2 linked regions of the Drosophila melanogaster genome follow. Changing the gene in region 1 together with any one later gene gives a genetic interaction. Each region holds a gene or a part of one and is shown in the gene's direction. Other genes may lie near its edges.

Region 1 (7,612 bases):
ATATGTAAACTTCCAGCGGAAACTCGGGCATCCAAACGATGAACTTGGCCACGCCCACATAGGTGCCATACTTGACAATGACCGAGGCATTGGATGAGCCGCGCTGCTCGGAGCCATCCACATAAACAGAGCTGCAGGAGGAGGAGACCTGAAAGAAGTTGATTGGTTATTTAGCTAGCAATTGCACGATTCACAGTCATCAGACGCACCTTGATTACACTTTCATCTTCGGCGTGACAGGAGCTCTGTAGCGTCACATCGGCCACCTTGCCTGCCTGCGAAACGATGAACACCTTCATCGCCTGGGCCACCTGTCTGCCCGTTAGCACCGCCGTGTTCATCACCTCCCAGATTTTGGCCATCGGTAGCACCGCCTGAATGTCATCCTTGTTGATCTCCAGCTTGGCAATTAGTCGCTTCTTGTTGTCATCGGGTATAACCAGTTCCCCGGAATCCTTGTCCTTTGGCGTGTCATAGACATGCGTCACGGACCACACAATCTTGCCACCGTCCACAATATCATTGGTGTCCTCGGCCACCTCGAGCAGCCATGAGAATACTTCAAACACCTCGCTGGTTAGGTTGCCACCACTTTCCAGACTGGATTCGGCCTCTTTGCGGAAAGCAGTAACGCGAGCGGTAGTGTGTTTGGGATTTTCCTTCTCTACAGAAACGCTCCATTGGTCTGTGGAGGCGGTGGCGCCCAGAATCTTTAAGCCCGCCTTAACACGAGCTCTCACAGTGAAGGCGGCCACCCGCTGATCGGGATATTGATGTAAAAAGACGGGCACATGTAGACGGGAGAGTGGATACAGCGGATGTTGTGGCAGGAGAAAGGTGACGGCATCATCGGCGCGCAACATACGATAGGGAGTCCTGGCGGCCAACAAAGGCACCTGGGCGAATGTGGTCAACGGTTGGATCTGCACCTTCGGCTCGCATTGCTCGGGATTACGCAAAGGCGGTTCAAAGACACTGTACGAGACCTGGGCATACCGCTGCGGTACTTTGGGTGGCGCCTGACCACTGCCATCTTGTGTGGGCGCCGGCAGCTGGGGCCACCAGCCCAGGGGCACGACCACTTCGGCTACGCAGACACCGTCCTCGCCCTCCGGCATGCAGCGTCCTTTGAGCGGCTGCTCCGAACCCATCGCCACGTGCAGGAGTACACAGACCTTCTGGCGCTGCAAATGACCACCCGGATCGGCTCCGGCGTGGAATAGTACCCGAAGCACGGGAGCATCCTGCGATACACTGGAGCGAACCAAATGGGCGGATATGTCCAGGTGCATATTTGGCTGCTGGAGCTCCAGTAGAGTGGCATTCTGTGGGAGAGAAAGTGGTATGACAAGGCGTCCTTTTGTTGCTTGCCAGGATTTGGGGATAACTCACGTTCATATAATCGCCCGACTGGCTGTCCATTGTGTCCGGCACAATGTAGCGGGCTGGCACCGTTTGTTTCGTGGAAAACGGTCCATAGCTGGCGCGTATGGACACCGGCTGCGTGGTCTCGACCACAGTGAATCTGTCCAGAGATAACACGGAATCATAGGAGGATCGTTGCCGTAACGGCGGCACCGCCGAGGATGTCTGCACATTGGCGATCTCCGGCGTCACAGGTGGTTGGCGGGCGTGCTTCAGAAAGAAGCCGCTGTCCGGCGCCTCGAAGTGCACCTCCACGGAGTCTGGCGAGGATTCGGCATGGATTTGTTATGGGTTGGGAGTAGATGAAGGAGTCAATTAGTTGAATTTTGGTAATGGTAACATAGGGGTTGGGGATTTTCTTAAACCCGGAGGTCACCCACTCCTCCTTTATCCCCCTCCCACTGGCTTACTCCCTCCTCCCACTCCATCGCTTTTTTTGTACCACCCCCCTGGGTTTGGAAACTTTATTTGATACTTACATGCCAACGACAGCTGCAAAGCAATTATGAGGCAGTATCTCATCATCTTGTTCGTGTGCAGGAATCCAAAATATATCGAAATCCTGAAATCCTGTGCCCACCCACTCGTTAATTTGCTAATTAACTGTGCCCGCACTTTCGTTATTTTCACTGTTCTCTCGCTTGTGTGGCTTATTTGACCGTTATTCCGTTAATCGTGCCAAAAGTCAACCGTTAATTCGCGCTGGCTAGCACTTTTCGTCCTTTTTTCTCGCTCAGCAATCCGCAGCACATCCTTTATTGATTCTTTCCAGTGTGCCCACACACCCACACACCAACACACACTCACACGCTGCTCACACACACAGCCGTGGGCCACCTCACACACAGATACACATGCACATGCAGGTATAGACACATCTTCTCCTGCAAATCGCGCAGTTCAGTTCGAAATTAATTGGACCGCAACCGTGCCAATCGATTCGATTTTTCACTCGACTCGCTTTTCACGCGCTGGCAAGGATCTGCTGGGCTGGAAAATCCCTCGTTCGACGCCCTAATGCATGCCTCTTTTCATTCAGGTCTCTCAGAATTTTACACAAATATCGAACATTCCAAACACTTTGCAGTGTGTCCATACCGTATTGAAAACAATATCCTAAGATAGTGGTACTACCGTATTTGGAAGTGCTGTAATATGGGGCTGCCAGACTGTGCGCATACTCCTGAAACTCCAATCAGAACGCGGGCAATTCAAAAAGTTAATACCAAAAAAAAAAAAATACCATGTTTGACAGTGAAGAATAAAGAAAAATAAAATTAATTGGGATTGCTTAAGAAAATTTTTTGAGAAACTTTAGATTCTACAAGAAAAGAGCTTCTTAGGAACGAATATTTTAAAACAAGATCTGGTAGCACAACTGACAATAGGTTTTTAGGATTCTAATAGCCATGGTCCTAGTCTCAGTAGTATTCACATTTGTAATATAATTTTATATTTTATAATATAATTTATAGTCTTAATATTTATTTATTTTAGGAGCTCCAACAATTAGCACTTTTGCACAGTAATTTTTAGCATATTCTGCGGTATTTTCTGATAAATTGAAACCGCCTCTATGCTGGTCACACTTGGCCTTCTCGTCGAACCGAAATTATAAAAGACAAAAGTGCAGCTGGTCGAAAGTTGCATTAACGAAACTTCGATAGTATTAAACACTCGGCATTCGGCAGCTGTGAGTATGAATCAAATCAGGCGTAATCAAGCAATCATATTCGATAAAATAAACGAACTGAACTCCCAAAGGGCGCTGCCCTATGTGAGTGTGCGTGTGTGTTAGTGTATGCGTATGAGTCAGCGTCGGCAGCGCGCAAATGAAAACAATTGTTTTTGTGCTATAATTCCATTTAAATGTCCATTCGAAAGTGATAAATCAACGAAGTCGCAAACATTTGGCCCAACTTGAGTTCTCGAGTGAATTTGGGTGCTTCAACTGCGGTTTTTTTCTGGCCTTTTAAGGCTTTAATTGAAATGCGTGTGCCAGTGTGTGTGAGAATGTTTTCAATGAGCCAAATACGTGTGCGATGTTGTTTTTGTTAACCGCAGTTCAACAGCATTGATAAACTCGCATACACATGCACGCACTGGCGCAGAGCGAGAGCGAAACTCCCATACGTGTCATTTTCGTTTGCGCGAGTGACTCAGAGAGCTGCGCATGTGTGCGTGCATGAGTCGTACTCACAGTGGGCGCCCGATAAGGTGGACTTGTAACTGTAGCGGAAGCATGGAGCCATCGAACTGCTTTTGCATTATCCTTTCTGGCCTAAAACTGTATTAAAACTATTTATTTATAAATATAATTTGTAGTTCGCCCATTTTAGGCAATGGCCAAACCTTCATTCCTTAAAAAACCTTAAAGAGCAGCAATAAGATGTTCTTTCCGTTGTGATAAGCATATGCATGGTGTACTCACTGTAGCGAGCGTCCACTGTATGTTGACACAGTTTGTTTGGGGAGCAATGAAAATCGGTTTCAGCGGAATTCGCTGCAATATGTCTATATATAGCCATAAATACATACCCGGCCAACGAAATGCTAATGTGAGTCGGCGTTTTTCGATTTCAGATCCACGCCGCACACACATCACTCCAGCGCGAAGCACTAGTGCCACCAGCTCCATAGGCCGGCTCCATTTAGCTCCATTAACCGCATCAGAACCACCAATCCAACAGCAACCATGTCATCCCGTAAGACCGCCGGACGTCGCGCCACCACCAAGAAGCGCGCCCAACGCGCCACCTCCAATGTGTTCGCCATGTTCGATCAGGCGCAGATTGCCGAGTTCAAGGAGGCATTCAACATGATCGACCAGAACCGTGATGGCTTCGTCGAGAAGGAGGATCTGCACGACATGCTGGCCTCGCTGGGCAAGAACCCAACGGACGACTATCTCGATGGCATGATGAACGAGGCGCCCGGGCCCATCAACTTCACCATGTTCCTCACGCTCTTCGGCGAGCGGCTGCAGGGCACCGATCCCGAGGATGTGATCAAGAACGCCTTCGGCTGCTTCGACGAGGAGAATATGGGCGTCCTGCCCGAGGATCGCCTGAGGGAGCTGCTGACCACCATGGGTGATCGGTTCACAGACGAGGATGTATGTTGTCAAGTTGTTTACGATATCAAGTCGGAGTGTGCCCTTACAACTTCTTTTCCATTTACATTCACAGGTGGACGAGATGTATCGGGAGGCGCCCATCAAAAACGGTCTGTTCGACTACCTCGAATTCACGCGCATCCTTAAGCACGGTGCCAAGGACAAGGATGAGCAGTAAGATCGCCAGCAGTCGATTCACTAGCCAGCTGCCTCTCCAATCAGCCTGTCCAAACTATCCATCATGAGTTTCGTTTTGATAATTTAATATATACAAGTATAAATATTTTTTTTTTTTGGTTTCGCGCCTTCTGTTCTTTGATTCCTGATAATCCTGTACTTATCCGTGCATTTGAATTAAACAAAAAGTAGCCAACACCAGCGATTGTTATGTACGACAGTGTAGTGTGTGAGATGTTGGTGCCAGATAACACGATTTCCCGAAAAACTCCTTTCATAAGTATTAACTCATTGAATATACATATATATTACCTATATACAAATACATACTTATACAAGAATGTGGCAATAAACCTTTGTTTTTCTTACACTCGAGAACGTGCGCACGTCCAACCAAACAGATGTCTGCAGAAATCCTTCAGCCAAAAGCAACTGATCAAACAAGGGAAACTTTGGAATATGTACCCCCCATGGCTAATTAAGCATGATCACTAGCACGATGTGATAAGTGTATGTAGCTTCAAATGTGGCGGGAAATTGAAAGAGATTTCGGAAATTAGTCAAAATTTTCTTGGAATCTTCGACAAGCTGACTAATGAGTTCATGTCCAAAAGACTCGAACTTGCAAACTCATATCTTATCTCACATTATTTTTGATTCGAAGATATTTCAGCTTCTGCAAATATATGTTTTTCAAGAATTTATTTAAAAAAAAATCAATTAAATAGATGGCTTAATGTTCGAAACACTCAACGTTGTATATTACACACTTTTTGGACAACTATTAATTTAAAAGAAAACACGAACATTTGAAAATCTAGAAAGACACGGACACAAGAATTACAAACCAGACAAAGAGGCGTCTAAACACTAGGCAAATTCTATGTACAAACAAGGCGCTACGACTACAAATTAATGGTTAATGGTTAATGGCCTCTGCAGCAGGAACCATCACAGCCCGCGAAGATTACTCCACCTTCTTGGCCAGCGGAGCGGTGTCGAAGTGGGTCTTCCGGCTCGACCTGGCCCGATAGGCGTCCCTCACCTGGTTGATCACATTGGCGAAGAGTATTGTGCCGAAGAATACCAGGATGGTGCCTACCCAATGGTTTAGGGTGAATGGATTCCGGAAATAAATGATCGAGAACAGCAGCGAGACGAACTTGCGCAGGGTGACCACCAGCGTTACGGTTAGCGATGCACATTCGGTGGTCAGAACGTAGACGGCACTGATGCATACATACTGGGTGACCACGTTGCACAGCAGATAGAACAACATCAGCGGGAATTTCCACTCCAGTCCAATGGCTCCCAGCAGTGGCACGGCCACTGGTTCCGATGACCATGCGATACCAAAGTGTTGGACTATATTGCCGGCCATGATCAGAAAACCGGGCAAAGGTAACATGTGCGTAAAGAATAAGGCCTCGCTGGGATGCTTGCCGTATTTCTTGTATATCACCTCCTGGTAGATGCCCATGTAGGCGGTGACCAGCAGGGCGATTGTCAGCAAGCCAATACCCACCGTCCACCAGAAGAAATCGGAGTAGGATGTATCCACCTTGAGGCTGTGATGTGTATTATCCTTGACATCGCCACTGGAGACCAGAGTGCACAATATAATGCCAGCCGTGATCATGGCCACGGAGCTGTACTGTCGCAGATTGTAGCGCTTCTTCAGCAGCACAATGCCCATGATCATGTTGGCCATCAGTGATCCGCTACGGAAGATCATGTGCAGCGGCATGGGTATGTTAAAGTTGAAGGCATAGTTATTGCAAACGTTCGCCCCAAAGAACAGGGCCACCAGGATGACGTAGTCCTTCAGCGCAATCTTCGGTCGCACCGTAAAGAACTTGGAGGTGAAGACCAGACCCTCCAGCGCGATGAACAGGAATTGGGCGAAGGTGATCAGGTTACCCGCTCCCGGATCGATTTGAATGATCAGCTCCAGAAAGACCACGTTGCTGCAGCAGCCGATGAACACGAACAGCATGCCCAGCAGGGCCTTCAGGTTCAGAGCCATATCTGAAAGATAAATATGTATATGTTTAGAAATTTTAAAAATATGAATGGTTATAGGCTATTAAAATCCAGCATCTTGACAATCGATGTTAGAGTACGTGTTCAATTTTAAATTTTTTTTAAACTTTTTGTCAAGTGTGTTTTTTTTTTCATTTTGTTTTCTAGCATGTAAAACATTCCGTGCTATCTGTTATCTTAAAGGGGTAATAAGTAGGTACGTATGTACACACATGCACGTAAATTGTTTTATACATTCGCAAAACATTGCCATGATTACGAAGCAATTTGATTTCCACTAAATTTTGCTCTGATTATGCTAAAAAAGAGTTTAGCACTATTAATAAATCAATCTGTTTTGAATATATTACTACTAACTGATGAAATTATTTATTTAAATTATTGTTAATTTGCAATTCAGCAATTCAGAGCTATTAAATTTCAGTCGTACGTCGTATGTGCAAAGCACACGGGGATACCGAAGAAAAACATACATTAGCATAAATTATTATACTTATTCTTTGCGCATTGTGAATGCATATGAAGCTAATCATTTGGCTCCGAGATTTATTAATCACGATAGCTAACAGTTATAGGAGATATAAAATTTGCATAAAATGCTTACCAAAAATAGAACTGATCGTAAACAAAGCTATTTTAAAGTGGTCTTTTTTGGTGAAATTAATGACAGTTTTATTCACTTTTTTACTAAGCTTATGCGGTACTAATTTTTATTGAAATATTAAGATTCTTTATCGATGGCTGGTAGCAGATCGATTTTTTCGATATATATAATCGAATTCTGGTTTTTACTGGAAGGGTATTTCCAAGGTCGGTGGGTGAGTGTAGATCGCAGCCCGCTCAGCGTTAGTC
Region 2 (6,289 bases), on another chromosome or scaffold:
GTAAAGACACGACACGCGAGAAAACATTTTGTATCTGCTGCCCAACTGCGGAGGCGTTTACTCTGACCACCTAAACCTTAAACGAGAGAAAAGAAATTTCAATAAACATTAACTATTGATAAAACGGAGACGTCTTGTTGCCGCAATCAGTTTTTTAAAAACGCCGGTGATAACGACCACGCTGCTGATAACTCGCCGATAACACAGCGGGGCGATAAATTGAGCATTGAGCAAAGTAAATATGAATACATTATAAATATAACTCAGAATGATCTAGCAGAGAAGTAAATAAGACGCCATATTGTGTATGTATTCTCGAAGAGTATTAACAACCGATGTAATTAGTCAGTTTTAAAGCAATTTGCATTAACGAACTTTGTATTGCATTAAGTATAGAAGTCGGAACGGGCCAGATCGGACAACTATATCATATAGCGGGCATAGGAATAATTAAAACATTAACGCAAAATAAATATGTGTTCGTTGTGTTAGATCCATTAGGTGTTCTAATGTTTTGTTCATCTTAGTCAACGTCAATTTCAAAGTGGATGTTTATGATGGAAATCCAGTTCACGACACCATCATCCATTTCGAGGGTTAACTTATAGCTACCCTTTGGTAATGGGACCTTGGCAAACATACGATCATCCAAGGTGCAGTTCCTTATGTAAATATCATCCTTAAAATATATATTTTAATATGATTTAATATGATTGTCATATTGGCGAAACTAAATACTTACATTATAGGGACATGTATGATTAATATTGGAAAAGGGCATAAAGGCGGTGTAGAAATAGTAGAAGACTCTGAGACGATTTGGATACCTTAGGACGCGACAGTGTTCCTCGGAAACATTAAATAGAAACGGATGGTATCCGTTTAGCTTCCGGTAAGTGATGAATCTCACGACCATCCTATTTATTGGCAGTTTCAGAAGCTTAACGTGTATGTTGGCTCCGATAATTCCCCTGCCAAGCACTTTTAGTCGGCATTCGGGAAAGACGACGAATGATTTGTCATAGCTTTCGCACTTGAGGTTCGTGAGGCGCACGTATCCATGGGATTCTCCAATGAAAAGTAAGCTGATCCACAAGAGGTACTTCATCAGGGCAAATAGTCTGGATGTAATGACCACTCTACGCGATGGTGGAGTACTGGTTTCCAAAAATATAATTACTGATGGGGCATAATTAGATTTTAATTACTACTTATCGCAGTTCGTATAAATAATTAGGTAATCAACAAACCGCTTCAATGAGCTAATATGACGACATGTTTAATATATTGACATAGAAAAAAGATATTTCTTGAAAAATGCAATAGCTTATGACAGATATTTTGAAATGCGCGCCGAAATTAGGCAGGTCGATAAATTTGGGTAAGTAATGCTTATTTTTATCGATGCTATCGGAAGTCTATCGATCGGACTGCTTACGCGGCAATGTGACCATATAAGCGGTTTTCAAATGAACTGTAATGTTAACTCGTTAGCATACCACGATTAGTAATCCGCGCATTTTTTAGGCCATTCGCAACTGGCCCCACCACCTGGTCACTCTTATTGATCAGTTTATCGGTTGTTATTTTTCGCTTCAAGTCTTGTCTTCTCGGCGAAAAGAAAAACAATAAACAAATCGCACAGCCCCAAAATGATCAGTGGTCTGTAATCCACCTGTTGCTCGGCTTAACTGTGCTGGAAAAGCGGACTTTCGGCGCGCTGCTCTATTCCTGCGACTGCTGGTGCGTGACCTATTTATGTAACCTGTTTTTGAAAAAGAACATCCCGCTTTCGACGGGTCTGGAAAAGTGTTAATTAAACGGTCGTGGCGAGAGCGATTCCAATTAGAATTCGAATTCGGTGACCGAAAAGCGGAGAGTGCAAAATTCTGAGGCGGCAATTAAGGTAGAGAGTGATTGGAAAAAAGAAAAGAAATGAAACGAAACTAAAAGAAAAGAGTGCATTAACCCTGCCAAGCGGTCTGTGTAAATGTGTGTCTGTTTGTGGCTAGAAAAGCCAGTGGGGAAAATGACAAGGGTCACAGCATCGGTTCAGTGTAACATCATCGATTTTATTGCATTTCCAGACGGAGACGTGGCTGCATTGCATTTTTATTGCTTTAGGCGAGTGACCAAATTAAATAGCTACGCTTCAGGTTTCGTTGGCTAGAACGGTACTAACATGCACACTACAAGCGCAGCCCCGCTCTCTCGCACGCACACACGGACAGGTACACCTGCCGAGGAGCTGCAGAGCGAGCGAGAGGGAGAGATGCGTAAAGAGCGGCTCACAGTGCAACACATTCAAGGGTGCTGCTACCGTCTCCCCCTCTGCCACGTACCTTTCCCACCCGCTCTCGACAGTGCGCTCTCTCCCTCTCATTCTCCTTGAGCTTGAACCAGGCTTCCACACTGAGAAATAAACGATGTCAATTTAAAATGATTTGAATAGTCTTTTATGGAATTACGTGCGTAAACCTTAAAACAGTGACTAAGTGTGTTTTATTAATCAGTTGAAAACGTTTTTTTTTATAATCTATCATTATGATTATGAAAAATATACATATATGAAATACTTTTACTGTGTAAATCTAATCTAATCAGAGTGTACTATCATTAATTGTTTATAAATTTCAAACATTCAAGTTAAATATTTGTATATCCCATTTACATAAATTTGCATAAATACAAATCGATCATGAAGCGTCTGCTTTTTCTTGCAGTTCAGCGGTCAAGAGTTCTGAAATTGACAATAACAACAAAAACGCAGGCACACTTGTTTGTCCGGTTTGTTGTTTTTGCTGTTGCACAACGGGACATTTCGTGTGTGGACAATTGGAAAACCCTTTTTCAAATAAACGCTTTTCATTAGCCGGTTTTTGTTTCTTCTCTCCCATCTCAACCTTTTTTTTGCGTTTCCATTTGGGTTGTTGGGCTGTTTTTGTTTTTGTTGTTGCTGGGGGCTTTCGCGCACGCAGCGACTTTCTGTTTGTTTGGTGAAACTTTTTTAAGGTCTTCTCTAAATACATAATAAAAAAAAAATGAACATAATACTTTGCCCATTTTTTATTTTTGTTGTTGTCGCTGGTGAGTCGTTAAATTTTGTAGAAGATTTCAGTTGTTAAACCAGAAGCAAATTGTGTGAACAACAAACGAAGTTTTGCGAAAAAGAATTTTGTTAGCAATGCTAGTAATTATGGAAAAAGTTAAAAAAAAATTCTACAACTAACGGTGTTTTTTAAATTTAAATCATTTACAAGTTCACATTAATAACAAACACTTTATAATTTAAATTTGAAAAGGTCTAAAGGCAACATATAATCAATATTTTTGTAAAATAAGTAATATTATAAATGTTCAAATGAATTGAAAAAGTGCATTTGCTCTTAAATTTAAGAATCGTTCGCATTCCATAGACTTTACTACGGATTTATTATTAGCCATATTATCTTGAGAGCTATAATTCAAGTGACCAATAAAACAATATGGGTTTAACTAAAGTGCTCCAATTAACGTATAAGTAAAGTGAAACCTTATAGGATTATTATTGCATTTTTTGTAAAATAAGACGAATATGAATTTTTCAGATAGGAAATGTTTTTATGCCACAAATTGCTCAAAGATGACAACAACATGATGTCAAGTGTCAAAGTCAAAGTGAACAAAAAGTGGTTGTATTAAACAATTGGTATGAACGCCATACATACTTTTATATGTACATATGTTTATAGATAATATATGGCCGAGTGTCTGTATGTAGTGTAGAGTAGATGGCATAAACCGTAATTGTACGTGGCTGCCACACACGAACTTTCACTAATGACTCTCGATGAACTTTTGGATCACTCACTAAAAACGCACTCTCTTACTTATAGACATATATACATGCAGTACATATACATACATATGGTTACCATATATATGCACTTAGATACGTGCCAATCGTTCGTCACTGAGTCCACTATCACTACCATTCGATGCTAAATCTGCAGAGCCGGAAATTCTTAGACGCTCTTTGCTCGATTCTATAAGTTTTTTAATCGTTTTTGGTCATGCCCAGAGATACAAATGTCTGCCTCACACCTCGATTTACACCTTGTTTGATGTTTCGCTTCTTATCGCTACTTGCACTGCAGGGAAATTCTGATAACAGCAGGTACGGCAATTAGGCAATCGTTTTTAAATAATTCAGTCATGACTGTGCTTAGTCTAAGTGCTCTCTTCAATTTGAAAACAGTTGTGGATTGAGTACCAAAAAAAGATTAAAATACGAATATAGATACGTTTACCTAAAAAGCAATCCTTAAGATACAAATAGAGTTCCCAATAAATGAAACCTTTTCCGCGTTCTACAGTTAAGTACTTGCGGAAAGAGGGGATTTAGATGACAATGAGGGCATTAAACTATTAAATTGGGTGCTGATAACAGGACAACGAGTATTGAGCAATATTACTTAATACATGTATGTATGTCTTAGTTAAATGTTTGAACTCCAGCCGACAATTGAGGTCGCTATATGGTTGTGGTTCGAGTGTGGATCGCGGATAGATGGGTTCCCTATGTGCACTAGACTCGTATTTTGACCGGCAGAGCGTAACCAGACTGGTATGTGTACGAGTATACGTGCCGCCGTGTGCCACTAAATTTGGTTGCTCCGTAGCTGTTGCTGCTTTATTTTTTTTTTTGTCTGGCATGTTGCAATTACCGTGGAGAGGAGAGACGCCTCCCAATGAGTAACTACACTACGGCTGATACCATGCCACACTATACTATACCTGTGCGGAGGCAGCCGTTAGTCCATGTGCTAAATGATGGATGGGGTGTCCAATTGAAAGGCGGCTTCGATGGCAACCGACTGGGAAATGACGCCAGCTTGAAACTCTGATTCATGACTGGTTTCGGAAATTAAGTAGTTCGCTTAAAAAAGCCGATCTACATGTTGATTAGATGAGTTTTTCCGGAATTCTCTAGATTAAATGATTAAACTAAAGAATTATGGTTGTAATCGGACTCTGTAATCAGCGCTCATTTGCTCACTTGTAATCCGGTGCTAAAACTGGTTACTATAATTGCAATGTTTATTTTCTTTAGTTCTAAAGATCATATTTAAAGGTGGAATTTTCACCAACGATAACCTGTCAGTGGCGCAACACATTTCTAATTTCTTTTCGTAAATATCTAATTGAAGATGGTTTAGTTTTCTATCGCCTTAAATCGAAAACATTGTTTAGCTACTGCCAGGCCGTACAAAGTAATGAAAGTAAATTTTTTCAATGAAAACCAAGCAATTTGCATAACAAACGCAGCTCATTGAGACCTTCGATTTCGGTTAGACCCTCTTTTTCGGTTGGTTCTTGTGGCCAAAACTGATTGTTTGAAGCGACCGAAGCTCAAAAAGTGAAAATAGTTGGATGGCCTTTTTTGCATGTCTAAAGGTGTAAAGGTTTATTTACTTTTTTTATAGGATTTTCGGTCACGTATCAATTCGTTTGGATCGGGCTGTTTTCCCTTAGTTTAAGAAGAAAAGAAGTATCGAAAGTATGAGTTTTATGAATGCATTTAAGCCTGATGACTAATTCGCTGTTGATTTTGTGTTGTTAATGAGTTGCCACTTTTGCTGGCTGTTGGCTGGAGTGTGTTGGCCAAATCGAGGAAAGAAAGACGTTTACCTCGAGCTAGGAAAGCGATTTGATAGCAAGAACAACAAAAAGAAGACGACGGACCACAAACGAAGACAGCGACAAGTTGTGAATTCTTTCAATTTACCGTAAACTTCACCTTAATTTTTTCTACTATTCGAAGCCGGTTTTTGTTGCCGCAGGCGCTAACTCGTATTTTGTTATTGTTGCTCATGGCCAACTCTTCCACTTGTTCTCTCTTTCGGCAGAGAAGAATATAACCCAAGCGGCAGCAGCGAAAAGGAACGGGCCATTGTCCCTGGATGCCAACACAGGATCAGTAAATGAAGGACGACGAACATGGTGATCGTAACACGTGTAAGTATTTCACTCACCATTAGCCCCCGCAGTGGAGGTATCACTCCTCTTATCGAGCCACTCCATCTATCTCACCTTTCCCCGCCCCATGAGCACCAGCTAACAGAAGCAAAAAAGCGGAAGTTCCACGCCATGGCTCACTTCAACTACCATTGCTCTACGAACAGTGGTGGCTGGGAATATTTGAATGGGGCAAAGCAACAGGTTGATGGTATTTTTCAAATATATATATATTTTCATTGCAGTCTTATCAAAGTACTTTATTTTTGCATAGTTTAGTTTTTTAACTAAT

The links.
Region 2: of sqh (region 1) and ck, changing one enhances a phenotype caused by changing the other (phenotypic enhancement), as found in Drosophila melanogaster (one study listed by BioGRID).

What each region holds. Positions count from the first base shown.
Region 1 is NC_004354.4:6,220,513-6,228,124, reverse strand, and holds sqh (spaghetti squash), read left to right. Parts: upstream 1-2,984; 5' UTR 2,985-3,118; exon of another isoform or gene 3,119-3,428; intron 3,429-3,604; exon of another isoform or gene 3,605-3,714; intron 3,715-3,967; exon of another isoform or gene 3,968-4,008; 5' UTR 4,009-4,120; coding exon 4,121-4,540; intron 4,541-4,613; coding exon 4,614-4,718; 3' UTR 4,719-5,064; downstream 5,065-7,612. Other genes in the region: dtn (detonator), read right to left, coding at 1-148, 210-1,325, 1,393-1,685, 1,905-1,950; Efr (ER GDP-fucose transporter), read right to left, coding at 5,685-6,743. UniProt on the Drosophila melanogaster protein: Required for cytokinesis, could regulate contractile ring function.
Region 2 is NT_033779.5:15,053,122-15,059,410, reverse strand, and holds the start of ck (crinkled), read left to right. Parts: upstream 1-1,548; 5' UTR 1,549-1,743; exon of another isoform or gene 1,744-1,906; intron 1,907-5,888; 5' UTR 5,889-5,979; coding exon 5,980-5,997; intron 5,998-6,289. Other genes in the region: CG33679 (uncharacterized protein), read right to left, coding at 524-679, 743-1,108. UniProt on the Drosophila melanogaster protein: Myosins are actin-based motor molecules with ATPase activity. Unconventional myosins serve in intracellular movements: can function in cells as a single-molecule cargo transporter.